6 linked regions of the Oryzias latipes genome follow. The protein of the gene in region 2 interacts with the protein of the main gene of each other region in a pairwise test. Links are inferred from orthologs where the notes say so. Each region holds a gene or a part of one and is shown on either strand. Other genes may lie near its edges. The genes, in order: glial fibrillary acidic protein, tubgcp4, pak5, serine dehydratase-like, lztr1 and fbf1.

Region 1 (5,138 bases), on a different chromosome or scaffold from region 2:
AAAAGCCCAACATTCTCATCTCCATAACATCTTCTGAAAAAAAGTCTGGCTTTTTAAAGGTGATCTGATGTGTGGTTAGTGCCGCTGTTGTTAGGGTGACGGCTGAAAAGGGTTTTGTAACGCAGCCTCTGTTAGTCTTTCTGAAGTTTAGATAAAGTTTGGACTCCCTGACTCCTTCTGGGTTGAGCTCCCTCCTCCTCATCTCAGCCATCTATCCGTCTCTGAAACCAGCAGGAAGTGAACATGGTGCATGGAGACCCCTGATGAACATGTTTGTTCCCACCGTCTTCAGTTCATACTGCATTTTAAAAATAAAACATGTCCAAAGAATTTAAACATGTTACCAAGGTGTTTAAAAGGACAAATTTGGAACAATTTTGGAAGTTTCAGAGTAAGCCCCTGATGTATGCAGATGATTCGGTTGTTTTTAGCAGTTTTTAAATATCTGTGCCTGTTATGGTTTAAAAAAGAATATTTTATATAATTCTAGTAAGGGTTCTGGGTTGATCTGTTGTACCAGAGAAGATGTGAAATTGAATTTTCCGTTTTTTAAACTGTCCAGTACTGAGCTCGATGTCTGTCATCCAGTAACATATCTTAGTCATGTTATTGATGACAAAATGATTGATGACAACAACATTCACTGAACTCTTAAAAAAATCTTCTGGGTGGCATGTCTTAAAAACCCATTCAGATTCAAATTAAACTGGGTTTTGAGTGGTTTTACCATGTTCTAGTGGCATTTTTTTCTCATGATAGAGGACATATGTGAAGATAATCAACCTCAAAATTGCATTTTTGTGTATTTCTGTATTTAAATTGTTGTGAATTAGCAGGAAAAACGTTGTTAATGTGATGTAGAAACATCTACGGCAAGCCACTAGCTCCATTCTGATGCATCCACTTGTGGACAAACAGATCCATTTTTGCCATAGTTTTCCTCATCTGAGCTGGGATCTGGATCCAAACTGTCCGACTGGATAGCTCCAATATTGCTCCCATTTTTCCTTTGCTGCTCCGGTTATGTTAGGTTGGTAAGCTAGTGGGAGGGAGTGTAAACAGACGGATGATGGGAAGGATGTGGGGCTCACTTGCAGCAATGGCCACAACCCAAAGGTGGATTTTTAAATATTACTACCGCTATTTGGGCTAAAAACTGCCTCATTGTAAGTAATAGACCACCGGGAACATTTTTATAATAGATCAAAAGAGGATTGGAGTGGGACTTCTTTGAACTCTTCGTTACCAGTCCCAAAATTGAACATACTGGTTTGGACACCCTTTTAAGTCCTTACGTTTTTACGTTTATAATTTATGTTTTACTTGTATTTTATTTCTTCTGTGTGTCATATTTTTATGGTTCTGAGATTTAGAGCTCAAGTATGGAATAAATGTTGGTTTCATTCCTACATTATTGTATTTAACAGGAGAAAGCCAATAGGTTGTTAAAAAACATTACTGCTGATAGTTACTGTTTGTCATAATTCTGTAATCCCGTGCAGAAGTGTGTGTTTAGCCCTAAATGCTGAACTCAGCTGTGTTTGTCTAACAGCCGTCTTCTGCGCTGGATTTGCTCCGATCTGCCAAACCTTGGCTGGGTTCTTTGGGTTTGTTGCCTTCAATCAGAACCTGTTTTTTGTTTTTGTGGTCCAGTTTCTGGTCAGGCTGGAACGGCGGCCAGACGGTTTCACACAAATTCCTTTTCATTCAGTTGGAACAGAAAGAAAGAGGGTAAGACAAAAAAAAAGGGGGGGGGGGAGTGAAAAAGGGAGTGAGTCAGAGGACCAGGAGTGACAACAATCCACGGCCCACAGCTTTTTCAGTCGGATGCAAACCACCCCTTTATGCGCCATTCACTGTCTGCTGCCCTCCCTTCTCCCTGCCCCACCCTGTGGCCTCTGTGTTCTGGACTTGGGGGCAGTTCTTCAACTATAAAAGCCCAGTTTGTCCCCTCTGTGAGCCCATTCCCCCCGTCATGGAGAGCCAGAGAGTCCAGTCCTCCTACAGGAAGCGTTTCGGGCCTCAAGGCCCGGGCAGTGCAGGGGGAAGACTATCGTCCAGCCGCCTCTCCTGGCATGGAACCCCTCGAAACATCTCCATCTCCAGCCCCATATCCCGGACCTCCCTGGGCTCCTCTACCGCGGCCCTGCTGATGGGGAGTCCAGGGGATCGGCTGGACTTCTCCGCCGACTCCCTGCTGAAGGCCCAGTACAAGGAGACGCGCACCAATGAGAAGATGGAGATGATGGGCCTCAACGACCGCTTTGCCAGTTACATCGAGAAGGTGCGCATGCTGGAGCAGCAGAACAAAGTGTTGGTGGCAGAGCTGAACCAGCTGAGGGGGAAGGAGCCCAGTCGCCTTGGGGACATCTACCAGGATGAACTCAGGGAGCTGCGGCGGCAGGTGGACAACCTGACCACAGGCAAGGCTCGACTGGAGATCGAGAGGGACAACCTGGCTGCAGATCTGGCCACGCTTAAGCAGAGGTAGGTGTGAAAAAAGGTGGTTAGTGCAGGGTGGTGCTCAGAGATAACCTTTATCCTTTGTGTCTCTTGTTTGGAACAGAGCTGTGGTTAACTGAAAATGTAACTTTCAATTTCAAATTTCTGAAAAAATACCCAAAAATTAGAGAAACTTAACTCTTTTTTTAAAACACATTTTTATTTTCAAAGGATAAATTTGATTTCAAATGTATTGCTTTAGAATTAAGTCCAGTTTATCTGGATTAGGTTGGAGAAATCCTGGCACAGGGGAAGAAAACGTTTTCCTTTTTTTTAAATTACAAGAGCATTTATATGTAGATTCTTTTTGAGAGGGGGGATTTGTTAGAATGCAGATCTCCATGGTCCGCCTGAGCTTTGCTACTGGATCCCTCTATACAAGCCTGATCCCGACTGAACCCCTCGTCAGCCCCGAAAGAGTGTGGAGGAATGAGGCCAACACAATGGTGGCCCTGCACAAAGAGAGCAGCCGGGGAGATGTTCTTTGAAGCTTCGCATTTTTTCCTTTGCGGCTGCTTGAATTTATGCCAGAAGTTTTAGAAAGAATGACTGAAGGTCTGGGGGGGGAAAAGGTCTTCAGCACAGTCCTCTTTGCCCTCTGCTCCCTAAAAGACGGTAGGGTGAATAATGATACGGTGGCTGAGAGGGTCAGAGGTCACCTCTTCATTGATGCTGCTCCCATACCAAGACTACTCAGAAAACTCTGCATGAACCTATACAGATGTTGGAGTGAGATCGTTGCGTGTCTGTGTTTGGCAGATGGATTGTGGGGCGATGTCTGTTTTTTTAATTTTTTTTTATTTTGTGTCAATGTGTGTTTGCATCCTCCTTCCCGTGGGAAAGGCCTCTGGCTGTTAGGTCGCAGTGAATGTGTAATGATGCATAAGCTGCCCTTTCAGCTGAGCCTGGCTCCTCCTCCCCTGCACCACAAGGAGCAGCATTAAAAGCATAAAAGTAGCTGATGTTGTGTGAGAACAGAGAACGACGGGGTTATTTGATTCCAGACCAGGGAATCAAACATCATCAGGGAAAAGGGCAGCATGTGCACTTTTTTTGTTTTTTGCCCCTTAGACGATACAGAAATAAATATTTTATTGCACGCTGACAGCGAAATATGAGTTTTGAACGATGTACAAAAATGAATCGTATAATGGAAATAATGTTAATGTGAAACTCAGCCCTGATTCAAACCCAATCTTCTGGGGACCTCAAAGCAGGAACCTTCAGGGGGCCCCACCCCTGAGGATATTGATCACATCATTGTGATGTATAGTTGTGTCTGTCAATGGAAAGGAGAAGGAGATCGGAGAGCCTTTCTTCTTTCACCAATTTTAGCTTGGAGAAAGATATCTCTACTGTTGTTGTGGACATTGGAAAATGACCACAAGAACAGTAGATTAATCAACTAGATTAGCAGAAAAATCTGATTCTCCAACTCACAACTGGATGTTATGTGACGTCATTTCCATAAAGGGCAGGGGCTCAAGCACCTCTAGAGGTCCTGTGTGTGCATAGGACCTCTAGGGTAACGCCTGTTGAAGCAAATAGACTCCACTTGGGTTCCAAAATTACCTTAATTTAGCATCTACTTGGAAGCAAAAACACTAAATCTTTTTTTTTTCCTTAGCTGGAAATAAATTCAGAAATTAAGGGGTTCATGAAAAAAAGCTGCATTTAAAAGGTTGTGTCTCCCTTCAGAGAATCTGAAAGCGATCTGTTCTCTTTTGACAGGCTGCAGGATGAGATTGTGCAGCGTCAGGAAGCAGAGAACAACTTGAACGCCTTTAGACAGGTAATCTTTAGTGTCACTGCGTACATTTTGCGCATTTTAGCACATCTGAAATTTCAGTCTGTTTTGATTCGTGCGTGATATACGTAAAACAAAAGTGGCTTTTGCTTTGGTCAGTCGTCGATGTGCTCAGATGTCCAATGAGGGTTTCGATAGACAGGTCTTCACAAGAATTCGGTTCTGAGCTGTTCAAAATTTTGTTGCTTGAGAATGACGAAGTTTACGCATATTTTAGGAAGTTTACACGCAATTAGTACGTAAATCTTACACAAAAGTGCATGATTTTTGTGTGATGCATACACAATTTTGTGGCTTTCCACAACTGTTCCACTTGTGTCTAATAGTATTAGTCATACATTATGTGCCATTGAAGTATGACTTTTAAATCCTGTATACGGCGCATATATGTTAAAATTACGTAATTGACGCACAAATCACTAATAAATTATTTAGGAACAGCGCAACTTTTCTGAGTCCTCGTGTCGTTGTTCACGCAGGATGTGGATGAAGCATCTCTCAGTCGTGTCCAGTTGGAGAGGAAGATTGAATCTCTTCAGGATGAGATCAACTTTTTGAAGAAAATACACGAAGAGGTTTTTCAAAGCTGATTCAACACAAACATTTAGTTCCTATGTTTGTTTGTTTTCAACTCTTTCATAACTCTTTCTGATCAGGAGCTGCGTGAGTCACAGGAGAAAGTCTTGGCCCAGCAAGTCCATGTTGACCTGGATGTTTCAAAACCAGACCTAACTGCTGCTCTGAGAGACATTCGACTCCAATATGAAAACCTGGCCACCTCCAACATGCAGGAGACAGAGGAGTGGTATCGATCCAAGGTCAGTTTTTC
Region 2 (4,539 bases):
GCGGGGCCTCTGCTGACCGAGCCTTTTTCCTGTCTGCAGCACCTGTGGACGCTGATGGTGGAGGAGGCGGATCTGCTGGAACAGCTGAAGGTTGGTTCTCCTCCTCGGTTAGAAGTTCCGATGCTGTGCAGGAACCGCTCTGCTCCTTCCTCTCCCACACACCTGTCTTCATCACTCATGTCTCCAGATCATCAAGGATTTCTACCTGCTGGGTCGCGGCGAGCTCTACCAGGTCTTCATCGATCTGGCGCAGCACATGCTGAAGACGCCGCCGACGGCCGTCACCGAGCACGGTGAGTCTGAGGAGAGCAACAGCTCCTCCTGCTGGCAGGAGCCACACATGCAGGAGGAGTTCTGCCCGTCTGAGGCGTTCTTCCACAAACACCCGCAAGACTTAGCCGCTCTTGGATTGGAGGGAAACTCCATTGATCCACCGCCTGACAGCCCCATCAAAAACCCAGTGATCTATCTTTAACCCAACTGGGGCAAAAACAACTGCCTCCATTCTGACACCAGGCAACAAGAACCCGATTCCCTTCACGGTGGCTTCATGTCAAAAAAAAGAATGAAGGAGTTCCAGGGCTCCAGACTGCGACCAATTGGTCGCATTTTGCGACCAAAATTTGAGAGTGTGCGACTAAATTTTACATCCAGTCGCACATGTGCTACCAGTAAATTTGCCTCCCCCACCCTCCGTATTTTTTTATACATTAAACGTGGAAGGGGCACGTCAATGATCAATGAAATGAGCAATTAAATAATCAATGAGACGCGAGCGCACACGCATGCAGGCAGACAGACACACACACTCGCGCACATACTCATGAAACGCGAGCACACACTCGCGTGATACCTGTCTGTGAGGCGGCCACTGCGTGTGAGAAGAATAGGGAAAGCCACTTTAAGTGGCTAAAATGCGTGTAGGGGGAGGGGCCTAGAGATAATCGAGTGCGTAAACATCTGTGGGAAGGAAACGGAGACAAATATCATCACAACCTAATATGTGCGTCTGAGCTATGAGCAAGCGAACTATTGATTCATTCTTCCGACCTGCGGCTATGTGTACCAGTGCCAGAGTGTACAGCAGGGGTCTCAAACTCGCGGCCCACGGGCTATTTGCGGCCCCCAAGATGATATTTTGCGGCCCCCGCCTTAATATGAAGGCTTAATGTTACTGCAGCCAGCCAGTTTGTATGAAAGACACTTTTTCATCGTCGTGCACGGAGCTGACAAAGCAACCAATCACAGTGGAGTAAATGACTCTTGGGGGCGTGACAATGACAGGGCTTGAAAGCAGGAAACCTGACAGCCCCTCCCTCCCCGGACCACATTAAGGAGTTCCTTACTTTCCTTTAGAACGTATTTATTCGCTCGTAATTTTCTAAATACATGCAGTCCGTGCTGAACTTTTCTCTGGGTCACACAGATCCAGAGGACGGTTTAGGTTTTGGTTACGGTTACGGCGGCGCATAAAACGGTTATGCACGGCTGTTACGGCAGCACGCCGCTCCAGCGGGAGTCGGGTCAGCTGAGGAGAATAAATGTCCCACACCTACATGCGTGACAGCTAACGGGGCTTGAACTTTAAACACGGTCGAGCAAAAACAACATTAGTTTTAGACTCACTGAAAATACGTGTGGAAAATGCAACGATAGACGTGTTTGAGATGAACCAGCGCTTCGCCTGGATCGTTTGGTGGGGGGGCTGTGAGATGAAAGCGAATCTGCAGCGAGACTGAAGGAGAACAAGAAATTGGAGTTGTCCTTAACATTCAATTTAGTTTTAATATTCCTCTCCCCCTTAGTGTGATCTGTGTTATTATATATTTTATGATTATTTTAATGTCTTGTGATGTATGTAGCCTTTTTTAATGAATTGGTATTTTAAATTATTTTAATTAATCACTGCACTACAAAAACCATCAGGACACATGTCCCATAATGCATTGTTTTGTAGTCATCAGGGCAGCTTTCAGTCAGTTCAGTTTCCAGCTGTGTTCGGGTAGGTTTGCCCCTTGCTCCCACCCCTTTCTCGCGATATTTTTGTGATGATTGACAGTTGATGTTGGAGCAAAAACAAAAATATATGTCTCACACCAGGTGATCTGTGCAGCGTTGAGTTCACCTGGGTGATCTCAAACACGCTTATTGTGCATCTTGGCTGCACCTATTTGGTGTCACAAAGATAAATTCCCATCCGTTTTCTTTACTATTTGGACTGTCATGACAGCGATGTTGCTGTCAGTTTACCTTCTTGTTGCATCTTCAAAAGTGCAGAATAAAATGTGACACTGTATTAGAAACAGCACATTGTAATTTCTGCATCTATCATTAAATTTTTTATTGGTAATACAGTGGAAATTAGGAGATTTGGTTAGCATGTTGATTTTCTGGTTGTGCCCCCAGAGTTTTCAGTTAGGGGCCACAGTGCTCCTAGTGAAAAAAGTTAGTCTGGAGCCCTGAGTTCTCTCAGGGGTGGTGAAAGGTGGACGCCCATGTTCAGCACCTTTCCAGTAAAACACTGAAGTTCAGTGACGCCCACACACCAGCAAGGATCCTGAGCAGCTGGAATGAACCCTTGGGGGGTACTGAACCCTGCTCCCCCACCTTAATAATGTTCCACAAATGGTGAATTTGGAAGAACAAACGATAGTGAAACCTTAGTTATGTCACCCCTCCTGCCGTTTGAAGTCCGATCATCTTTTTTAATCGTGATTATGCTGGAAAAAAACTGTTTTCTAGAACGTAGTTGCTGCTGAGTGGCAGGAGTTCCAATATAAGCATAAGGCAACCTCACCCCTTTTCCTTCCCCAATGCTGAGAGCTCTCTGTTTACAGGTTCTCCTGCTAACTTCCAGCCCCTCACTGTGAGCAAAGCTGGAGCTCTCCAGCCGCCCAGTTTAGAACCAGATTCCAGCTCAGACGAGGAAAACAAAGACGTTCATGTTTGTCTGACAGTCGACGTAATTTAAGCTTAATGTTCTTTCTATATGTCACAAGAACAAGTTAAAAGACCAAACACGCCATTTTCCTGGGCGGGGGTTTCTAAGGAGAAGCCCTTTAGTTTGCAAACAGCCGTTGTCCTCTTTGTGTGTTGGTTTTGTTGCTGGTTGATTGTGTGTTCTTGCTTTTCTTTCGGTGTTGCAGACGTGAACGTTGCCTTCCAGCAGGCCGCTCATAAGGTTCTGTTGGACGACGACAATCTGCTGCCCCTGCTGCACCTCACTGTGGACTGCCAGGGCAAAGACGGCAAAGGTGTGTGCAGGAAGTGCCGAGGAAGAGCGTGAACCCCATAAAAATCCTCTCTGACCCTCAGCGGCTGGGATTCCAGGCGGCTTTAGGGCGGCGGTGCTGAGGAACAGATGCGTCTTCATAAACAGTTATGATGCTAAACGCCAAAACGGTTCGCTCTTGCAGAGACGGCCGGCCCTAGGGATGGAGCCACGCCCCCTCAGGACACCTCCCCCCGTGAGGCCCCTCCCACAGGCTGGGCCGCGCTCGGCCTCACCTACAAGGTCCAGTGGCCGCTGCACATCCTCTTCACCCCCGCCGTTCTGGAGAAGTGCGTGCAGACCGGCGTGTCTTTGTAGCTGTTTTTTTTCTTTCTCAGAGCTGACCTCTGACCTCTGTGCTCCACGCGGCGTTCAGGTACAACGTGGTCTTCCGGTACCTGCTGAGCGTGCGGCGCGTGCAGTCGCAGCTGCAGCACTGCTGGGCCCTGCAGATGCAGAGGAAACACCTGACCTCAAGCCAGACGGATGCGGTGAAGTGGCGGCTCCGCAACCACATGGCCTTCCTGATCGACAACCTGCAGTACTACCTGCAGGTGAGCGGAGGCGCGGGCTGGCTCCGCCTCTAAATCTGCAGATGTAAATCTGCAGGGTCTGCTTCCAGCTGTAGGAGACATTTGGGTGGAGACTTCAGATCACTGCAGCATGTGCTCGGAGGCTCAAACGCATTGGGGGGGCGGGGTCATTTAAACCTCCTGACACCCCCTCCCTATCTGTCCTCTTGTCTCTAGGTGGATGTTCTGGAGTCTCAGTTCTCTCAGCTCCTGCAGCAGATCAACTCCACCAGAGACTTTGAGAGCATCCACCTGGCCCACGACCACTTCCTCAGCAACCTGCTGGCCCAGTCCTTCATCCTGCTGAAACCGGTACGGCCCAGCCCGGTACGGCCCAGCTGAGCTGCCCCGCCGCTTCTCCTTTGACGCCACCGTCCTGTTGTTCCTCTGTTAGGTCTTCCACTGCCTCAGCGAGATCCTGGATCTGTGTCAGAGCTTCTGTGCTCTGGTCAGTCCCAGCGTGGCGCCGCTGGACGAGAGAGGAGCCGCCCAGTTGGATCTGTTGGTCAAGGTACAGCTAGCTATGCGCTTAGACGGCGTGCACTCTGGCGGCGTTCACTCTGGCGGCGTGCGCTCTGACGGCGTGCACTCTGACACAAACTCTGAAACCGCAGGGCTTCAAGCGCCAGTCTTTCCTGCTCTTCAAGATACTCTCGAGTGTGAAGAACCATCAGATCAACTCTGACCTGGCCCGGC
Region 3 (3,973 bases), on a different chromosome or scaffold from region 2:
CCTGTCGGTGCTGAGGGCTCTGTCCTACCTGCACACGCAGGGCGTCATCCACCGCGACATCAAGAGCGACTCCATTCTGCTGACCAGCGACGGCCGGGTAGGAGAGTCTCCGTCAGATCTTTATCCGCTAATTAGGTGTCTCTTAACGAGCTGATAAGAGAGGATTCGTGGAAACGTAGTTAGGAGAGATGAGTGTCGTGTGTGGAAGGTCTCACCTGCTCCACGGCTGAAAGCTGTGTTGATCTGCAGATCAAGCTCTCCGACTTTGGCTTCTGCGCCCAAGTTTCCAAAGAAGTGCCCAAGAGGAAGTCTCTGGTGGGCACGCCCTACTGGATGGCGCCAGAGGTCATTTCCAGACTGCCGTATGGCACAGAGGTGGGGGCTCGGTGTTAGCTGGAGGTGGGGGGGGGTTCATGCTTCATTCCAAGCAGTTTGACTGGTTTCTCTGTGTGTTCAGGTGGACATCTGGTCTTTGGGCATCATGGTTATCGAGATGGTGGACGGGGAGCCCCCTTACTTCAATGAGCCCCCTCTGCAGGCCATGAGGAGGATACGGGACAACCTGCCCCCCCGGCTAAAAGAATCACACAAGGTTAGGAATAAGACAAGTGACATTCTTCTCCGTACTGACAGATTTGCTTTAAAATTTGTCATAAACATGAAGAATTTTCTTTTCTCTCTTGATTCCCACATTGCAGAAACCGAATCTTAAGGAAGAAACTGTCTTTTTTTTCTGTCATGCAAGAAAAATAATCTTATTGAGAAAAATCTTCCACGGCAATCTTGGTTTACGAAAACATTTCTCAGTGACCAAAAGACTTATTTTTAATCATTTAAAGAAAATGTTTCATAACGTAAGACGTATTTCTGAAAGGGCCTGTTTGTGAAAGACTTTTATCAAAACTATTTTAGAAGAAAAAACTTAATTTAAAGTACAAAAATACACATTAAAGCACAAAAATCTCTTTTTTACGCTTTGAAGGGTCTATATCCTGCTTTTCGTAAGCCTTTTAGAGTAAACTCTCCATATATATGATGATTTTTCTTTATTATTTTACCCTAAAATGTGTTCGTTTTATCCAAAAAATGTAAGAAGCAGAAATGTTTAGTCCTCTTTCAGTTTCCTTTTATAAGAACTTGTGGTACATTTTTGTTTTTGTGAAAATGAAATGAAATAAAGAAATTGACAAGAAAAGATGCTAACAGCACGTTTTAACCTGCCGGACATCCGTCAGCGTTGCTGCCTTGTTGGTGGTGGTGGATGGTGGTGGTGGGGGGGGGGTCACATTGACATGCAGTTGCTCCACAGCCTGAAGGCTCTCCGTCCGTCCTGCAGGTGTCGTCGGTGCTGCGGTCCTTCCTGGACATGATGCTGGTCAGGGAGCCGTCACAGAGGGCCACCGCCCAGGAACTCCTCCAGCACCCCTTCCTGAAGATGTCCGGCCCCCCCTCTTGCATCGTTCCCCTCATGAGACACTACCGCCATCGCTGACCTAATCCCGCCCACATCCACTCCCCTCTTGGGCGGCTCCGCCCCCATCCAGCCAAATGCCGCAGTGGCTCTCCGCTGTAACCGCCGCGTAGTTTAGCTAGAGGAACAAACATTTACAGATAAAAGGAGGTAAAATTAAGATTTAAAAAGATTCCTTTTTATACCATGAACTGAAAGGGTTTGGTGCCACAGACGCTCACTGAGCGTCCGGCGGGCGAAGGGCAGGGGGGCGGGGGCGGCTGCAGTCTTCTTCCTTTCCCAGATGACGAGTCTTCAGCGAGACTCCTGGTAGCCATCAGCCTTCCAAAGCTTCAGAAAGGTGTGGCGAGCAGCTGAGCGGCTGGTGGAGCCGACCACGCCGTGCCCCCCCAAGGCAGAGCGACGGAGGCGGGGGCAACAATCAGCCTGAACGGAGGGGTTTTTCACTGAGGACCGGCTCCTGCTAAACTGACGAGCTCTCTTCAGTCTTCTCCAAATGTATTTTAGAGGAACTTGTATTTCTGTACAGTTTTGATAATTTGCAGTATTTTATTGTGTCGTAACAATTGTGATATGAGCAGTATTAATAGAGTTTCTGCAGAGATTTTTCATACCGTTTTTAATCCATTTTTTTGCTTAAAATTACGAAATATTCCAAATAAATCCACCTAAACACGAGTGTTGCTAAAAGTAATATATTTATGAACTCATATTTGTAGACAGAACTTCCATTAAATGTTGGAAAAAAAGGGTAAAGTTCAAATTTTGTACAATATTTTAAAGTATTTATTTATTTATTGAAAGGGAAGGTATATTTTTGTTTGTAGTGTGGCCTTTTTTTTCCTTTTCTTCTTCTTCCTTTCGTCTGGGGATTTTTGGTTTAAAGAACGTCGGCTTTTATGTCCTCCAAGCAATACCGCAAACCGGTTTCTAAAATCACACTGTTACCGTTTAAATGTAGCACAGATAAGAGTTTGGCAAAAAAAAAAAAAAAAAACACTTCACTGAACATTTTTGCTTCTTTTATGGCAGCCTCCTTGTGTGTTTTTTTCATGGAGGGGGGTCCTTTCTACTGCGCCGGTCTGTCATCGTCACTGAAACGGAGAACGGTGAAGCCCCGCCCCCCTCTAACCACATCGTTTTGACCCCGTCCCTCACTGTGATCTGTAAATACGACGGTGCGCGTGCGGGAGGAGTGTGTTTGTACAGACCCTGAGAGCAGGTGTGTGTTTGTCGTGAGCTAAACCTCCACCGTGTGTTCAGATCTGAATGAGTTACACTTTAATGTGGTTCTGGCCTGTACACTGAAACTGCATGTTTGTTATCGGTGAATCTGGTTTCAATTAAAAAAAGACGCTAAAGCAGGAAAACATCTTTTTTTTGCTTTAATTGTGTGTTTTATTAGAAGCACTTTACAGAGTTACGTTCAGTCACCTCTTCCTCATATTTTCCGATCCCAGCTGTTTTCTTTTACAACAGTTCTCACCTCATTACACGTTAAAGTCCCACTCCGATGGAAAAAATGTGTTTTTAACACCGAGGTCATTAACTAACAAAATTAGGCTTAAAATTGCATTTTTGTTAATTTCTTTGTTGAAACGAGCAGGTGAAAACGTGCCGTTTCAAAAATAATGTATTTGTGTTGTCGAAAATATGTGGGGCGGGGCCAAAAGTGCCCTGCTCCGCCCCATTCTGATGCACCCACCTGCAGACAAATAGATCCATGAACGTCTCTGTTTTCCTCGTCTGACCTGAAATCTGGATCTAAACTGTAGGGCTGGTTAGCTCCAATGTTGCTCGTCGCACCACCAATATGCGGTTGAGGTTGTGAGGGGCTGTAAGCTAGTGGGAGGGGTGAATTTCTGATGAACTCCTGCAGCTTTGTAGAAACTAGGGAACACATTGAGAATAGATCAAAATATGGTCAGAGGGGGACTTTAAAAGCAAAATCAAGCATCCATGCTGACGTTAAGGATTTCCGTCTCGGACTCCTCTGAGAGTTTTTTTTTTTTTCACTCACAGCAAAAGTCCAGAACTCAGCAAATAAACTGTTTATTTGATTTCAATTGGGAAAAGCGACATTAATCAATGTTTTAGCAGAGTTGGAGCATAAATTAGCACAAAAGCTGAATTACATCTGTTGTCCAAAGGCAGACAGAAACATACAGAGAAACATATTATACATACATGTCATACAGCGTAACCTTGTGCTATCCTATGACCCCCCCCCCTTACAATGACGTGTTCTCCCTACCATGACAAAGGTGGATAAAGGTGGAAAGATTTCATGTAATCCATGGACACCAGTGAAGATCACAAATCATTGAAGAAAAAAGGTTAAGAGCACTGTCTAGTGGGTCTAGATGACCCAACTCCCAACGTTAAAGTGCCTAGGATAGAACAAGGGTTAATCAGCAAACAACAGTAGACATGACCACAAAATATGAACCTTTATAGTAAAGCACTGACCCGTTATCATGGACGGTTCCGACCTCAGAACCT
Region 4 (5,256 bases), on a different chromosome or scaffold from region 2:
CTAAATGTATTTAAATATTAAAATATGTCTATCGTTAAGCTGCACATAAAGTCTTTACCTTTGATACCATGACTTTATGTGCAGACCACATAAAATGTAACTGTGGTTCTTGCTATGAACAAACGTTAAATAAATGATTCAAAACAAAAGCTGCATTTATTAAAATGAACACCTTAACCCTTAGATTGTGTTTGGGTCCAAATTGACCCGTTTTCACATTTTAAAACCCAAAGACAATTAAAGAAAATGATCTGACTTGCATTATTCCACTGTATGTGCTTTTGAACTTTACCGTTTTTAATATGCACCTATTTCAATCATAAAAGATTTATTAGAGCTGTAGGCTCTTTGTTTGTGTATTTTCACGATGCTAGTTTTTTGGGAGTTAGTCTGGCCTGACACAATCAGAACAGGTGTAGAGCCCTAGAGGGAGAGACCTGAAGAGTGTAGATGCTGGTGATGACTGTGGAGCTGATGATGCATCCTGAGGGTAGGAGAGGTGGAGCTTAAGCCAGAGAAGGGTTTGGAATGTGGAGACGCAAACAAAATCGTGTTACTGATGTTCAGCCACCTTGAGAACAATGTTAACACGGTGTAGTGACCCGCTCCGTCTTGCTCTCTCCACAGCTGTACCCGAGGATCAAACCCAGACAACGCTCGCTGGCATGAAGCCCGGACCACAAGGCACGCTGGCAGAAGTCACATGCACGGCCAAACACGACAAAGGAGAAGAGGAGCATGCGGTTCGGAAACAGAGACGGAAAACCTCAACGGAGAATGAAAAAAGATGGCAGAGACTGCATTTAGTCTGAATGTAGCAGAACCGATTCATGGTAGAAGCATCGTTTCTTTTTACAGGCCTGGATTTTGGATCCAATGCTTGACAGGCTTCACGAGAATTCAGCAGCATGAGAAAGGTGCTGAAGAAAAAAAAAAGATTCCGTTTAACTTTTGGATGTAACTTCAACGTTAATGCAGCTTTAGAAAGTGAAAATATGATGCAGATGTTTTCAAGTTCTACGTGATATTCTCCAAAGAATCTACCATTAGCCATCACTTTTTTATGGTTTTTACAGCCAAAGAAAAAACGCGATGAGGTGGAAGGAGGTGAAAGAAAGTGCATTTTGAATGTGAAGACGGAGAGGAAAAACGACGAAGGATGCCTGAAAGTTTTTTGAGTGGCTAAAAAAAAGGGTTTTATTGGAAGTCCTTTTCATGTCAATGTTATTTTGACAGCCAGTTGTTAGTGGACAGCAGAAAGAGGAAGTAAGTAGGTTTAAAAATTTGACTGATTTTTATAGTTCAGAATAAAGAGGCAGGCTCCTTTTATTAGCAGAAAAACCTAAAAACCAAAAGTGCAGTGTTAAAAGATTTAATCAGCTCTTATTAGGCTTTTTACAGCAAAGTCAACCTCTGTTTTGAATGTCATTAACTATAACATTTTTCAGTGTTATTATTTTTCTCACCTTTTCATTAGTGTTGTTTAATACCCCTAATGTTGCTGTTTTATTTAAAACAACAATTTTTTTTGTATTTCTATGAATAAATATTACTAGTATACCCTTGATTTTCTGTCAGAAATGACTCGCTTCTGCCACCTAGTGTACAGAAAGGGTTTGGCACAAATACAAGAACTGGTCATCAACCCCCCCACCCTGTATGAACAATGAAGCAGTTCGCTGAAAGACGTTTGATGTGAAGGTTGAACATGAATTTTGAGGAGTATAAATCATCATTCTGTGTATATGCAAGCTGTAACTGTACATGTAATGTGCAATAATAAAAGTTTAATCCATGCAAAGACTGAAAGCTGAGCCTCTTTTGTAGCAGCCGCAGTAATAGTGTGTGTGTGTGTGTGTGTGTGTGTGTGCGCGCGCGCGCGCGTCACCTCATAAAAAGATTAAAGTCTTCAGAATAATACTTTGGACTTTAGTGCTCATGAGTTCTGCTTCGCCATCATTCAATCTTTCACCTAAGAAAAACATTTCAGGTACTATACTCTTAACTTGCATCCCTATGCCTTTTTTAATTCTTAAATAAAAACACTTTAGTATAAATTATAGGATAAATAAGAATGTATCAGGACAAGAGCATATTTTTATATTAAAACAACAACAGAGTGAATGTCAACCCTGTTTTCCGTGCGTTTTATTTCGTAGAGTCGTAAATAGTTGAAATGTTAGTGTTACTATATTCAATGTAGATAAAATATTTTTTCAAAGCAAAAGCACGGTCAGTTTATATTTTGAAAATGTTGACCGGAAGTGGTCGAGCTAGCTTAACTTCTATTTTGCTCAATGCTACTTGGTATTTTTATTTGTAAGGTGCTTATCATTACGAAAATTAGGCGCATGTTCAAAGCAAAACATTGAAGTATGACCAACTATAATATTATAATACTATCCTTTGCCCGTTAAATTATTTACGTTATGTTGACTCGCGCTGTTTTATGTAGCGGTTATCTTCGTCAAACTAAGCTGTAGCTTTTTTAAAGCTGCAGCATATATTTTGATAAATGTATTGCCTTCGCTTTTTTAATATGGCAAAAAAATGTTATTTTTATTTATACAAGCTTTTTACTGACAAAAATATTGTGTTTGTTATATCGGATTAATAGCCTTTCATGATGTATGTAATAAACTTGTTTTTTTACGAAACAGTTACATAATGCGTATTGTCAGCGTCTGTGTTTTTTTTCTGAGTGTGCCTGAACGCATCACTGATTCAAGTTAATCAACACATTCTTATCCTGTGATTTCCTAGCCTGTCAGAGCTCCCACAGCCTCAGACTTCTCCTCTGAACTGCTTTGAGCTCTAGTGGGGAACAGTGGCACCATGTCCCAGCAGTTTCACCTGAATACACCTCTGCTGGAGAGTGTCAACATGTCCAAGCGAGCAGGCACCACAGTCTACCTGAAGATGGAGAGTTCCCAGCCCTCTGGTTCCTTTAAGATCCGGGGAATCGGACACCTGTGCCAGCAGGTGGGAACCTCAGTCGCATTATTTTAAACATATATATGTTTGTCCTATTTAAAAAAAGTTTCATTCATACTTTCAGCTCGCCAGACAATCTAAAGGAGTCGTCTGCTCTTCGGGTATCATTCGTTTTGTTGTTTAACTCTTTGGGGTGGTTCTGTTTTATAGTGGGTGTTTGGGTTTTCCAGGTGGTAATGCAGGTATGGCTGCAGCCTATGCAGCCAGGAAGCTTGGCGTGCCCGCCACCATCGTAGTCCCCGCCTCCACTCCACAGCTGGTGGTGCAGAGACTTAAGGATGAGGGCGCGGCTGTCAGGATTGCAGGGAAGGTGAGGTGTGATGGAATGGCGTGTAGAAGCGCCACTTCAGAAAAAGAAAACGACATTCCAGTTTTGTGCTCAGGTTTGGGATGAAGCCAATGTAGAGGCTCTCAGACTGGCAGAGACGGAAGGGCTGATGGTTATTCCTCCGTTTGATCATCCTTTACTTTGGTAAAACAACTGTTACACATTGTCATTGGACTTTTCCCAGACGTGATTCACGTTTGTGTCCCCGCATTTATTTACAGGCGGGGCCACGCCAGCATGATTGCAGAGATTGCAGCCTCTCTGGGTCCTGGGGCGAAGCCTGGAGCCGTGCTGCTCTCTGTGGGTGGAGGAGGCCTCATGTGTGGGGTTGTCCAGGGGCTGAGGGATGTGGGATGGATGGATGTGCCCATCATCGCCATGGAGACAGTGGGGGCCGACTGTTTCAATGCTGCCGTTAGAGCTGGGAAGCTAGTCACTTTAGACGACATCACCAGGTCAGATTTGGTACAAATGTTCAATATTTCCACCTGATGTTTGGGGTTGCGTGTTTAATCTGTGTCTTCACAGCGAGGCCAAATGTCTTGGAGCAAAAACGGTCTGCAAACAAGCCTTCGATTATAGCCAGTGCCGCGAGCTGACCATCATCTCGGAGGTGGTGACGGACCAGCAGGCTCTGCAGGCTGTCCTGACCTTCCTGGGTTTGTGATTTGAAGAACATTAGCAGTGGCTTTGTTCTAATGAGTGGAACTTCTTTCTACATTACTCAATAATTATTTTGAAAAAAATGTGCACATTATTTTCCTTAGTTGGTGAGATTCCTATTTATAGGGTTTTTACTGATTTTCTGTGCCTGCTTGACTAAAGAACCCCAACCTTTTGCTGAGCTCCATTCTCTGCAGCATTAAAAACATCACAGCTTAGAGCCAGATTCCAGCTCAGACGAGGAAAACACGGATCTAGTCGTCTGCAAGTGGTTGCTTTGAGCTTGTGGCCCAACCATAATTTTTTCTACTAATCTTTTTTTTTAATGGCATTTTTTCTTTTGCTCCTGATTCTAGAGTAAAGAGATAGTCAGAAATTCAATTTTAAGCTTTATTTTCTTAATATATTTCTGCCATCATCAGAAAAATTCAACAAGAACAAATTAAAAATCCTATTTTCGTTGCAGGTTAATAGTTGTAGAAGCTGAAAATAACAAACCAGCATCAAGCTAACTGAAGTTTACTCCTTGTACTTTGGCCTTGTGTCTCTTTTTCCTCTTTTTTTGTGTGTGCCTTCAAGTATTTTGGATTTTGCTGCCTTCCAGGTCACTTCATTAAATGAGGTTTGGTCTCGCCTGGTCAAATTAAAGAATGAAGCACTCAGCATTTGTCTTTTTTTATTCAGAGCTCAGTGAGTCAGTAACTTAGCATGAAACGTTTTTCTTGGAAATTCTAAAGGGCTGGATTAGTTCAAAAACATCCGAATAAAATGCACAAAAAGGATGAAAGTTCATGTGATTTGCTCTCATGTTTGCTCCTTGAAGACATTTTTGCTGGTTGTCTTGCAGATGAGGAGCGTGTGCTGGTGGAGATGGCGTGTGGAGCTGCGCTCGCCGCTGTCTATGGCGGCCTCATATGCAGGTTACAGGCTGAAGGTACCATGATAAATAGTATGGCTTCACTTTTGAAACCCTCCCGCCCGTTGACTGTATAAAAAAAAAACGGAAGGAGTGACGTCTCCCATAGAAAATGGCAATTCAGTCGCCATTTTTTTAAGGAAAAGGACGTCGCCATGTCCTCATTTGTCAACATTTCTATGGCAACCACTCTCACCAATCAGGAGTGAGCTTGTTGGAAGTCCACACCCCAAGCACTTGAAAGTTGGCTACATGAAATCTGTTAATCAAACATTTGGAACGTTTAACGTGAGACCACATACTTTTATCGAGGCATCTGATTGGTCAGTTTATAACTTAAATAACTATAATGAAT
Region 5 (5,032 bases), on a different chromosome or scaffold from region 2:
AGGAATGACCGGAATTTCCCACATATTAGGCTGCACTTATAGCAGAGCCGGTAAGGTTGATAGTTCAGACAAAGCATGCATTTTGTGCTACAAGAGCCATATTTGGCATGGATAGACAGGGCTCTAAATTAACTAAGTTGCTCGCCGGGGTGGCCGGTAACATCCAAAGACCACCAGCCAAAATTTCTCATAGCCAAACATTTCTCTGGAAAATGATTTATGTATTTGGACGCAAAACAGGCATTCCCTTTGTAAATTTTCAGTTGATGATTATTCTCTTGTAAAAACAAAAAACTAATAATGACTGAAAGTGTCATCTTATGTGAGGCTTTATAACATTATAGAAATGTAAATGTTATTTTAACAAAATACACCTCTTATCTCTGAACCTTTTTATGAACACACAGCTTTCTTTTACAGCATTGATTATTCATCAAAGCCTTAATGTTTATTTCTAGTCTTGATTTATTTAAAACTTCAACATTTCTTTGAACCTTCATTTTGTTCAAATCAAATGTTTTTTTGACTGTACAACAGAAGAGTTGTAAAGCTAGTGATAAACAATAAAATAATTTTAAAAAACATTTCCAAAAATATCATGCATAGAAAAACCCTGCATAAATTGAAATAAGTGTAACGTTTTGCATTCTTGTGAGTTTATGAAGTTCAGTGTGTCGAGGAGTTACAATGACATGGAGCAAGAAGTGTGTTTGAGTTGGCTAAGGTCAGATCAAATGCTAGAAAAATCATGGAGCCCCTAAATGCACCTCATGCTGCGACACATGCGAGTATTAAATCTGCGCAATAAAGTCAGAATTAAATGCTTGAATCAACTTTGAGATGGATGTTAGTGGTAGCCAAGTGGAGGAGAGGCAGACAGATTCAAGTCATGGTTGTCTCACCTGCCAAAGTGGTTAAAGGAATTGTTTTTCTACCTGCCAAGAATATCCATGCCAGATTTGGTGCTTGCACCACAAAATTCAAGATTGTTTTAATAGCCAGCTCCTCTATGATGACATAGATACAAACAAGCCTCACAGAGATTGACAAGTTAAATATTTATTGTTGTACAGATTTGAGTAGATATGAACATTTCTAAATTGGCATTTATAAATTTACAATACATTGTACATATTATGTGTATGCATTTATAAAATATAAGAAAAATACTGAAAAAATGAAAACAGTGCCTAAAGACAAACAGAAAAACTGCATATTATTTAGAATGTGACTCCTTCATTGAAATCCCATCCGACAAAGCGTGGATACAAGGCATCTGTAGGGAAGATGACATGCAAAGGTGTGGGGGAAATGATGATGGGGAAGAATGCGGTGCAGTGAAGGTTGGCGGTTTCTGCAGGGGAAGAACGTCTCGCATTCCAAGTCATCCTAAATGTCAGACCCCATTTCAGCACATTGTTTGTCTGATATGTGTGCAGCAAGAGACTCAATGATGTCCAATAAGAGCAGCTGGCTGAGGGACCGCAGGTTGGGAAGCTTGGATACCTTTGGGAGGGTAGGAGAACAAAGCAAAAATGAAAAAAGAAGCACACTTTAATCAAAACAAGGAGAAAGAAAAAAGAAAAAAAAGAAGCTGATGATTATTTGTGCATTCAAAAAAATGAAACAGCAAAAAAAAAGAAAAAAGAATCAGAACAGCAGAGCTAACACTCCAGTGAAATGAAGTGAGAACTGGGTCTTCTGTCGTTTCTTTAAATAACAAGCAATAATCAGTTTGCCACTGTGACCTTCGTTGTTATGTGATGAGTTGCTTGTACAGCCGGCCCAAACTATAAACAGCCTTTTCATTGTACAGGAAGGAGGACTGTCCACCAGGAGACCAAAGGTTTCAGTTTCCCGCAAAGACAATAGGACTAGAGGGTTAGCTCAGCTGCGGTGAGTGGACAGCACACTCCCAGGGCTCCGGCTAAAAGCCCACCCACCTTGATAAACTGGTGGACAATAATGTGGAGGCAGTGCTTCTTCATGTCCAGAGCCTGGGTCTTGTCTGCTGCCTCCAGAATCTGAGAGGACAGGGAAGAAGTGTGAAAACAAATTCTTCATTTTTGGTTGCACAGCTTAGTCTCTGTCCCCACCCCGCAAACAGTAAAACAAATACCTGCAAGACGTTCTCCACAGTGACATTCATCTCCAGGTTTTGCTTACAGTAAGCCTGCAGCCTATTGTTAGAAAACCCATAGTAATATGGTGCAGCAAATAGGTATCTATCATTTAAAGGTTAAGGAAATTAAACATTTTACAATGACTTCATTGAAAAACATTCTAACTACCGTATTTTTCGGTGTACAAGTCACACTAGAATACAAGTCGCAGGACCAAAAAAAGAAGAAGAAAACCTATATAAGTCGCACTTTTGGGAGATAAGTGCAACAAGCTAGGTGTAATACTACGATTCACGCAACAAAATCAGGAAGCACGTAAAAAAAAAATTTTTTTTAAAGAACAATATTGTCTCAATGGAAGTAAGACAAATATAAAGCTCAGCAGGAGAACAATCAGATTTTCCTCCATGGTTGTTTTGGACAGGTTCTTCTTCAGGCTTCTGTGCATTTCTGTCAGTCGTTAATATTGAACCACAAATGTGTTAGTGGAAAACAACTGCTAAAAGGTAACAGTTTGTTAATGGAAAAATAGGGAATATAGGATCCTGTTTGTGTAAAAAAAATAATTTCACATTTAAGGCGCTTCTAAGTATAAGTCACACCCCTAGCCAAATTATTGTAAAAAACGCAACTTACACGGTACTCAATATATTTTCTAGACTTCATATTCTTAGGTTAGGAACAATAGAAACTACTTCTAGAAATCTGTCCTAGGTTTATGTTCTCTTTTAGACACTGCTGTTAAATTCAGTCTCTTTTGTGGGGATAATGCAACATTGACAAGGATACAAGGAGTCCTCTGGAGGCATGTTGACATCGCCGTAGTAGATATAGCGCAGCATGGACTCAAAGGCCTGCTTGCTTGGGACCATCTCTCCAATGGAAATATTTACCTGACCATCTTCTGGCATGAAGGAGCGAAACATTGCCTCAAAGTAGCTGCAAAATAAACAGCATGATGAGAGTTGATTAAACCCTGTTGTAAGATTACAGTATCTGAAATCTTTAAGAAGCAAAAGACCGAAGAAGTCTGACCTGGATCGAGCTGCCAGTATGGCTTGGTGTGCAGGCCGGGGATGCCCGTCCAAAAGCAAAATGATGTCGCAGAACTCTAAGCCCCCTCCCTCCAGGTAAGCCTTCATGTCCTGCACCAGGGAAGTCCCGATATCCACTGGCTGGTCAGAGTACATTCTGGGGGGAGGCTGCTGCTTTCGTCGCACGATCTCCACGATCAGAGGGGTGGAAAGTTGCTCGAACTCTTTGGTCATGATCACCTGGTTAAAGTGGGATTCTTTCACCACAAAATTCAGACAGTGCTCCTGTGTAAAAGAAAAACATTAAAATTAGTGTTAGGCCTAAACAATGACCGAATAAATGCCTCGCATCAATGATATATCAATTCTTGGTTTAATAAAGTTAATTTAGCTCAATTAAACAAGATTTTCTGTTCTACCTTGAGTTGATCAAGTTGCAGCTTGTTGGCATTTTCACAAACAATGAGAACATTCTGGAGATCCACAGATGCCTCAATGTATTGCACACACAGCTGCTCCAGCCGGGACAGTTGGAAACTGAGAGCCAGTTTGTATACATCCATGATCAAAAGGACATCCTGGACGTGGCCTGTGGAGGATGAGAAAAACAGACTTTGTTCACTTTTTCCCCCAAATCTTAACCTATACTACAGGAATGACTGAAGCACGGAGCGAGAAATACCTCTGCGGGGGTACTGGATTTTGTCTGTGTAGAGAAACTGCATTAAGACTTCAAAAGGTTGGGCCTCTGCTTCTCTGATGAAGACCTCCAGCAGGGGCTGTGTGCCCGATGGCCTATTGCCTGCTGGGATATCCCTCGGGCCTCCAGCTGCTCCCTCATCACTTTCTTCACTGCTCTCCTGTTTCGTCCTCTGCAACACAACATATTACACAACACGCTTTCTTTCCAACCCTCCAAGCTTCGGCCATCTACTGGTAAAGTTACTCATTCGGCAGTATGTTTTTCTTTGTAGAACGATGATCTAATTTTACACATTTTAAGTTTGCAAGATGCAGCTTAAATTAAAATGAAATTCTAAATTCAGCTAAACTTTCTAATGTGTTATTTAATTATTATATTCCATCTTTTTACTGTACCCGCAGGTGGTAATCACAATCAAAAAATACTCTTCAATACTGAAACAAACAAAAAGCTGCACTGAATGTGTGATTCAGACCTGTCTACGTCTGTCCTGAGCCTGTAGGATTTTCTTCCGCAGCCACTGACACCTTGCAGTCACTATAGCGATATGCCCCAAGACTCTCTCCTGCCTCTGTGAAGAAATAGAAAAGCATGAAGCCATTTTTTTTTTTTAACATTTTAACCTGCACTTTGCAGTATATGCAGTGTATCATCCAACAGGTAAAACCCACCTCGCCCAGAATGAACTCCACATCACAAAACTGACGGTTCTCCCACAGTTTACCATAATCTTCATGGAGAGTGCACTTTGGGTAACTTGAGAACTGTGAGATACGGGAAGTTCATAAGATCACCAAAGACATTTGGAGCCAAGTATATTGATCGGTCATTCAGACAAACCTGGAATCTGTACATCTCCCCACTGCGAACATTGTTGTCCACAGTTCCTCCAAAGATGTACATGGCATCCTGAATGACAGCAGCAGCATGAAAGAGCCTTCCACTGGGCATCTGAGGGGGGGTGAGACAGAAGAACAGATCAGATTTTGTAGGGGGGGGGGTTATTAAACAAATGTGCATAGTCAAGAAGGAAAGAACAGAAAGAGCATCAATTTCAGTGGAGAGTGTAAAGTACCCAGACAGCTTGAGGACTGTATGAATTAAAAAAATAGAGACAATAAAGTTCCTATAGGCTGACTGTCACAATATTAACCAAATTCAAAAAGACAGAT
Region 6 (3,467 bases), on a different chromosome or scaffold from region 2:
AATACTGCAGTTCCTCTCTGGGAACCCCGTCATAAGCTTTCTCCAGATCGACAAAGACAGTGTAGCTCTCTCTCTGACCTTCTCTATCAACATCCTCACAGCAAAGATGGCATCTGTAGTTCTCTTTCTTAGCATGAAACCATACTGCTGCTCACAAATGTTAACTTCTCCTCTTAGTCTCGGGTCAGCTACTCTTTCCCAGAACTTCATTGTCTGGCTCATCAGATTTATTCCTCTGTAGTTTCCACAGCTAAGGTCTTGTGGCCACCATAAACATTTCAAAACTTTCCTTGGATAAAGTTAGTTTGACATTTTTATTTATTGTTCATTTTGAGTAGTAAGCAATTAACAGCAGCCAAAAAAAGAAGAAAAAAAACCTATTTGACCCTTTGGGTTCTCCAGGGTTAAAAAAGTGTTTTCCTTGTAGCATAGTTGGGTCTTTGCATGTCTTTATGGGAAGTGTTCCAGAGTTTTAGCCTCTGAGAAGAAGCGGTCACCATCATTGAATCACCAATAGATTCTAATCAATAGAGCTCTGCTAGATTGCTTTGTGGTTTATAGTTCCATTACGTAAGAGGGTCCAAGACCATTGGTTGCAATGGAAAACCATTAAACACACTGGAAGCAAGTAAGGAGAATGCAGAAAAGGGATGTAGGAATTTCTCACTGTTGGTAACCCAGCAGCAGGATTCTGGATAGAAAGATTCTAAAGACAGATTGCGACAAATTCTTTACTTGGTAGTTAAAGACCCGTTCCGATGAAAATGGTTTTTAAAATGTTCTTGTAGCTTTTTTCCGATGGAGTACAAGTTTAAAGAAAATTCATCTTAGAATTGCGTTTTTGAGTGTTTCTTTATTCAAATTGTTGTAAATCATCAAAAATACTTTTTTCAAAAGAGCTCATTTGTGACAAAGAAAATAACCTGGGAGGGCCACAAGCTTCCTGCTTTTAGCAACGGGAAGGGGGGCGGGGTTGCTCCATGCCAACAGTTCTAACGAATCATAAATAAAAGGCCACTGCTTTTAAAATATTTTGAAAGGTGATCGGAGGGGGATCTGAATGAAAACTGTTTTTCCAAATGGAATTCAATCCACCACACTCGTTTTCTCGACTGACTTCAGGAACGCTGGAAGGTGGCATCAGAGCAAGCCAAGGTGGAGTCGCTCCAGAGGAGCCTGGAGGAAGAGCGTCGTGTCCTCAATATGCAGACCAGCATGGAGAGGGAGGAGTTGGAGAGAGCTAAGGTGAGGCTGGCAAACACCAATCTCCTCTAGGGTCAGCTGTGGTGCTGAGGTAGAGCGGGTGACCTCTCTTGCCCGTGTGTTGAAGTGTCCTGTCCAAGGACACCAAACCCCACATTGCTCCTGGTGGTCTGATGACAGCAGAGATTGGTGGCTGCAAAGTGATTTGGGCTTTGATAATGGTAGAAAAGTATAAGTATGCATCATTTATTGAGCTCCATGTCTCCTCCAGAGTGTGCTGCTGGAGGAGCAGAAGTCGGTGATGCAGCACTGTGCAGAAGAAAGGAGGAAGCTGGCAGCCGAGTGGGCCCACTTTCACGATCAGGATAAAAGGAGGCACGAGAGAGCTGAGCGGGAAGTTAGCAGCCTCTTGGATAAAAGAGAAGGCTCCATCATAACTCTGGCACAGGTACGACTCAGAATCAGTCACGGTGAAACCAATTCTCAAGGCAAACTGGTTTGTGGTTGTTTATCACAAAAGACAGTGTTGGATTTGTTGTTCCTTTTGCAGGAACAAGCTGACTTGAAGCTTCGCACAGCAGAGCTGAAACAGAAAGAGATGGCTGCAGCACAAGAGCGAGAGACTCTGGAAAGGCTAAGAGAAGAGCTAGAAAGAGAGAAAGAGAAAATAAGTAGTGCAGCCCTGAGGCTGGAAACTCGGGCTCTGGAGGTCGAGTCCTTCAGCAAGGTGATCTAGGATCAAACAGAACCTCGAAAGTCTGTTCAAATGAATCCTAACATAAAAAAAATTCTCTGCAGCTCGCCGCTAATAAGTATGAAGAGGGCGAAGAGGCGCTGAGGGAAGCGAAGCGTGTGGAGGCGGAGCACGAGGCCCGCCTAAAGAGCATTCACTCACAAATGGAAAGTCTGAGGATGCAGGAAAATCGCATTCTAAAGGTCTGCAGTTCTCAGAATTCCTCAGAAGATATTTTTATACTTAATTAACTGCTTTTATTTTTTAGGAGCGCACAAAGCTAAACTATCTGCAGGACAAAGCACAGCAAACACAAACCTCAAGCTTTAAAGCCCCACCTGTTTTACCAGGTAGTTGGAATCTGTTTCAAATATTTTGTGGCCAAACAGTAAGGATGGATTTTAGTTTGTTTTCCTTTTCTTTCACTTTAGTTTCAGTGTTACCCACTCCTGAGCTGACTGCAGACTTTATTCCCAACTTGTCTGCAAATCATCAGTCAATAGCTCGAGAAGCGTGCCTGGCCCTTTGGAAATACACTGCAGAAAAGGTAACTCTTGATGGTTTTCACTCGATCTTTATTTTAAATGTGGCTTTAGAATTGAAAAGTAATGTACAAGTATGAATTCATATTTCCATTAAAAAAACCATTTTCCTTCCCACAGGAGACTGAATTCCTCCAGGAGGAGCAGATTTATCTGGACAATTTGAGAAAAAAATCCTACAGATTAAACACAACCTGACAATGTTTTTTTTTCCCAAAACTATTTTTAATCTTAATAAAACAATGTTTAAGTTTAAATGGTTGTCTTTAATCCCACTGGAACTCTGTCTGCAGCTGCAGCTGCTAATCTGTAACAGAGAGAGAAGACAAATGTAATCCAAGTATTTTAGTTACTTCAGGATGTCATGTCTGCTCATTCAAGCCTCAGGTTACCGTGACTCCACAGCTAAATTCAGACAGGGATAACTTGTATCATCTTCGGCTTAACTTCCTCTTCCATGCAATTCTGGGAACACTTACTTTTTGTAATATCTTCAAGATCTGTACATCTTGTAGTCCAGCTTTACATCAACACATCTGTAACGCAGAAGAAGACAAACATTAGAAGAACTCCAACTATTCTTAACAGCAACAAGTGCTGCATGTCAATCTCATAACAGCTTTTTAGTTTTCGCATCAGGCAGCACTTCCTATGCAGTAATTTTCACTGAGACGTGTAACAAGAGTAAAAACTTAACACAACTCACCTTTGATGACTGTCCTCTCCTAAGCAGCTGAAGCGTTCCCTTTATGACCTGCAAGAAAACAATCCATCAGTAGCAGTTGGAGTTCTAGTAACATGTAACAGTACACAAATCTACAGCAGGTCAGATACCATTGATTTCCACATGTTTAATGTCAGACAGGGATAACAAACTCATCATATGCACTGCAGGAGGAAAATATAACTATTACAGATGTCTGAAAATGTACCTTTGGATAAGTTATCCTGAAAGATCCATTTGATGCCTGAAAGAAAAAAAAAGACTT

The links.
Region 1: the proteins of tubgcp4 (region 2) and glial fibrillary acidic protein interact in a two-hybrid assay, tested with the Homo sapiens proteins (2 studies listed by BioGRID and IntAct). The two-hybrid records come from large-scale screens. The link is inferred for Oryzias latipes from reciprocal best matches to the Homo sapiens genes TUBGCP4 and GFAP.
Region 3: the proteins of tubgcp4 (region 2) and pak5 interact in a two-hybrid assay, tested with the Homo sapiens proteins (2 studies listed by BioGRID and IntAct). The two-hybrid records come from large-scale screens. The link is inferred for Oryzias latipes from reciprocal best matches to the Homo sapiens genes TUBGCP4 and PAK5.
Region 4: the proteins of tubgcp4 (region 2) and serine dehydratase-like interact in a two-hybrid assay, tested with the Homo sapiens proteins (2 studies listed by BioGRID and IntAct). The two-hybrid records come from large-scale screens. The link is inferred for Oryzias latipes from reciprocal best matches to the Homo sapiens genes TUBGCP4 and SDSL.
Region 5: the proteins of tubgcp4 (region 2) and lztr1 interact in binary tests that used the Homo sapiens proteins (3 or more experiments, as listed by UniProt). The link is inferred for Oryzias latipes from reciprocal best matches to the Homo sapiens genes TUBGCP4 and LZTR1.
Region 6: the proteins of tubgcp4 (region 2) and fbf1 interact in a two-hybrid assay, tested with the Homo sapiens proteins (2 studies listed by BioGRID and IntAct). The two-hybrid records come from large-scale screens. The link is inferred for Oryzias latipes from reciprocal best matches to the Homo sapiens genes TUBGCP4 and FBF1.

What each region holds. Positions count from the first base shown.
Region 1 is NC_019866.2:4,109,895-4,115,032, reverse strand, and holds the start of glial fibrillary acidic protein, read left to right. Parts: upstream 1-1,945; 5' UTR 1,946-1,975; coding exon 1,976-2,487; intron 2,488-4,233; coding exon 4,234-4,294; intron 4,295-4,788; coding exon 4,789-4,884; intron 4,885-4,965; coding exon 4,966-5,127; intron 5,128-5,138.
Region 2 is NC_019861.2:4,182,504-4,187,042, reverse strand, and holds part of tubgcp4 (gamma-tubulin complex component 4), read left to right. Parts: intron 1-39; coding exon 40-90; intron 91-187; coding exon 188-293; intron 294-3,146; coding exon 3,147-3,254; intron 3,255-3,416; coding exon 3,417-3,561; intron 3,562-3,647; coding exon 3,648-3,825; intron 3,826-4,020; coding exon 4,021-4,155; intron 4,156-4,237; coding exon 4,238-4,354; intron 4,355-4,457; coding exon 4,458-4,539. UniProt on the Homo sapiens protein: Component of the gamma-tubulin ring complex (gTuRC) which mediates microtubule nucleation.
Region 3 is NC_019882.2:2,184,536-2,188,508, forward strand, and holds the end of pak5 (serine/threonine-protein kinase PAK 5), read left to right. Parts: coding exon 1-97; intron 98-249; coding exon 250-375; intron 376-457; coding exon 458-592; intron 593-1,336; coding exon 1,337-1,492; 3' UTR 1,493-2,845; downstream 2,846-3,973.
Region 4 is NC_019880.2:17,707,646-17,712,901, forward strand, and holds the start of serine dehydratase-like, read left to right. Parts: upstream 1-1,907; 5' UTR 1,908-1,990; intron 1,991-2,243; exon of another isoform or gene 2,244-2,373; intron 2,374-2,763; 5' UTR 2,764-2,835; coding exon 2,836-2,982; intron 2,983-3,058; coding exon 3,059-3,095; intron 3,096-3,164; coding exon 3,165-3,304; intron 3,305-3,377; coding exon 3,378-3,466; intron 3,467-3,543; coding exon 3,544-3,777; intron 3,778-3,850; coding exon 3,851-3,981; intron 3,982-4,832; coding exon 4,833-4,919; intron 4,920-5,256. Other genes in the region: apoptosis-stimulating of p53 protein 1, read left to right, coding at 628-669. UniProt on the Homo sapiens protein: Catalyzes the pyridoxal-phosphate-dependent dehydrative deamination of L-threonine and L-serine to ammonia and alpha-ketobutyrate and pyruvate, respectively. Also exhibits racemase activity towards L-glutamate and D-glutamate.
Region 5 is NC_019867.2:13,327,493-13,332,524, reverse strand, and holds the end of lztr1 (leucine-zipper-like transcriptional regulator 1), read right to left. Parts: intron 4,812-5,032; coding exon 4,701-4,811; intron 4,625-4,700; coding exon 4,532-4,624; intron 4,432-4,531; coding exon 4,336-4,431; intron 4,030-4,335; coding exon 3,840-4,029; intron 3,747-3,839; coding exon 3,577-3,746; intron 3,443-3,576; coding exon 3,159-3,442; intron 3,063-3,158; coding exon 2,913-3,062; intron 2,226-2,912; coding exon 2,120-2,225; intron 2,025-2,119; coding exon 1,944-2,024; intron 1,507-1,943; coding exon 1,390-1,506; 3' UTR 1,040-1,389; downstream 1-1,039. UniProt on the Homo sapiens protein: Substrate-specific adapter of a BCR (BTB-CUL3-RBX1) E3 ubiquitin-protein ligase complex that mediates ubiquitination of Ras (K-Ras/KRAS, N-Ras/NRAS and H-Ras/HRAS).
Region 6 is NC_019866.2:15,834,302-15,837,768, forward strand, and holds the end of fbf1 (fas-binding factor 1), read left to right. Parts: intron 1-1,122; coding exon 1,123-1,245; intron 1,246-1,474; coding exon 1,475-1,651; intron 1,652-1,753; coding exon 1,754-1,930; intron 1,931-2,001; coding exon 2,002-2,139; intron 2,140-2,204; coding exon 2,205-2,286; intron 2,287-2,367; coding exon 2,368-2,483; intron 2,484-2,494; exon of another isoform or gene 2,495-2,598; coding exon 2,599-2,676; 3' UTR 2,677-2,729; downstream 2,730-3,467. UniProt on the Homo sapiens protein: Keratin-binding protein required for epithelial cell polarization. Involved in apical junction complex (AJC) assembly via its interaction with PARD3. Required for ciliogenesis.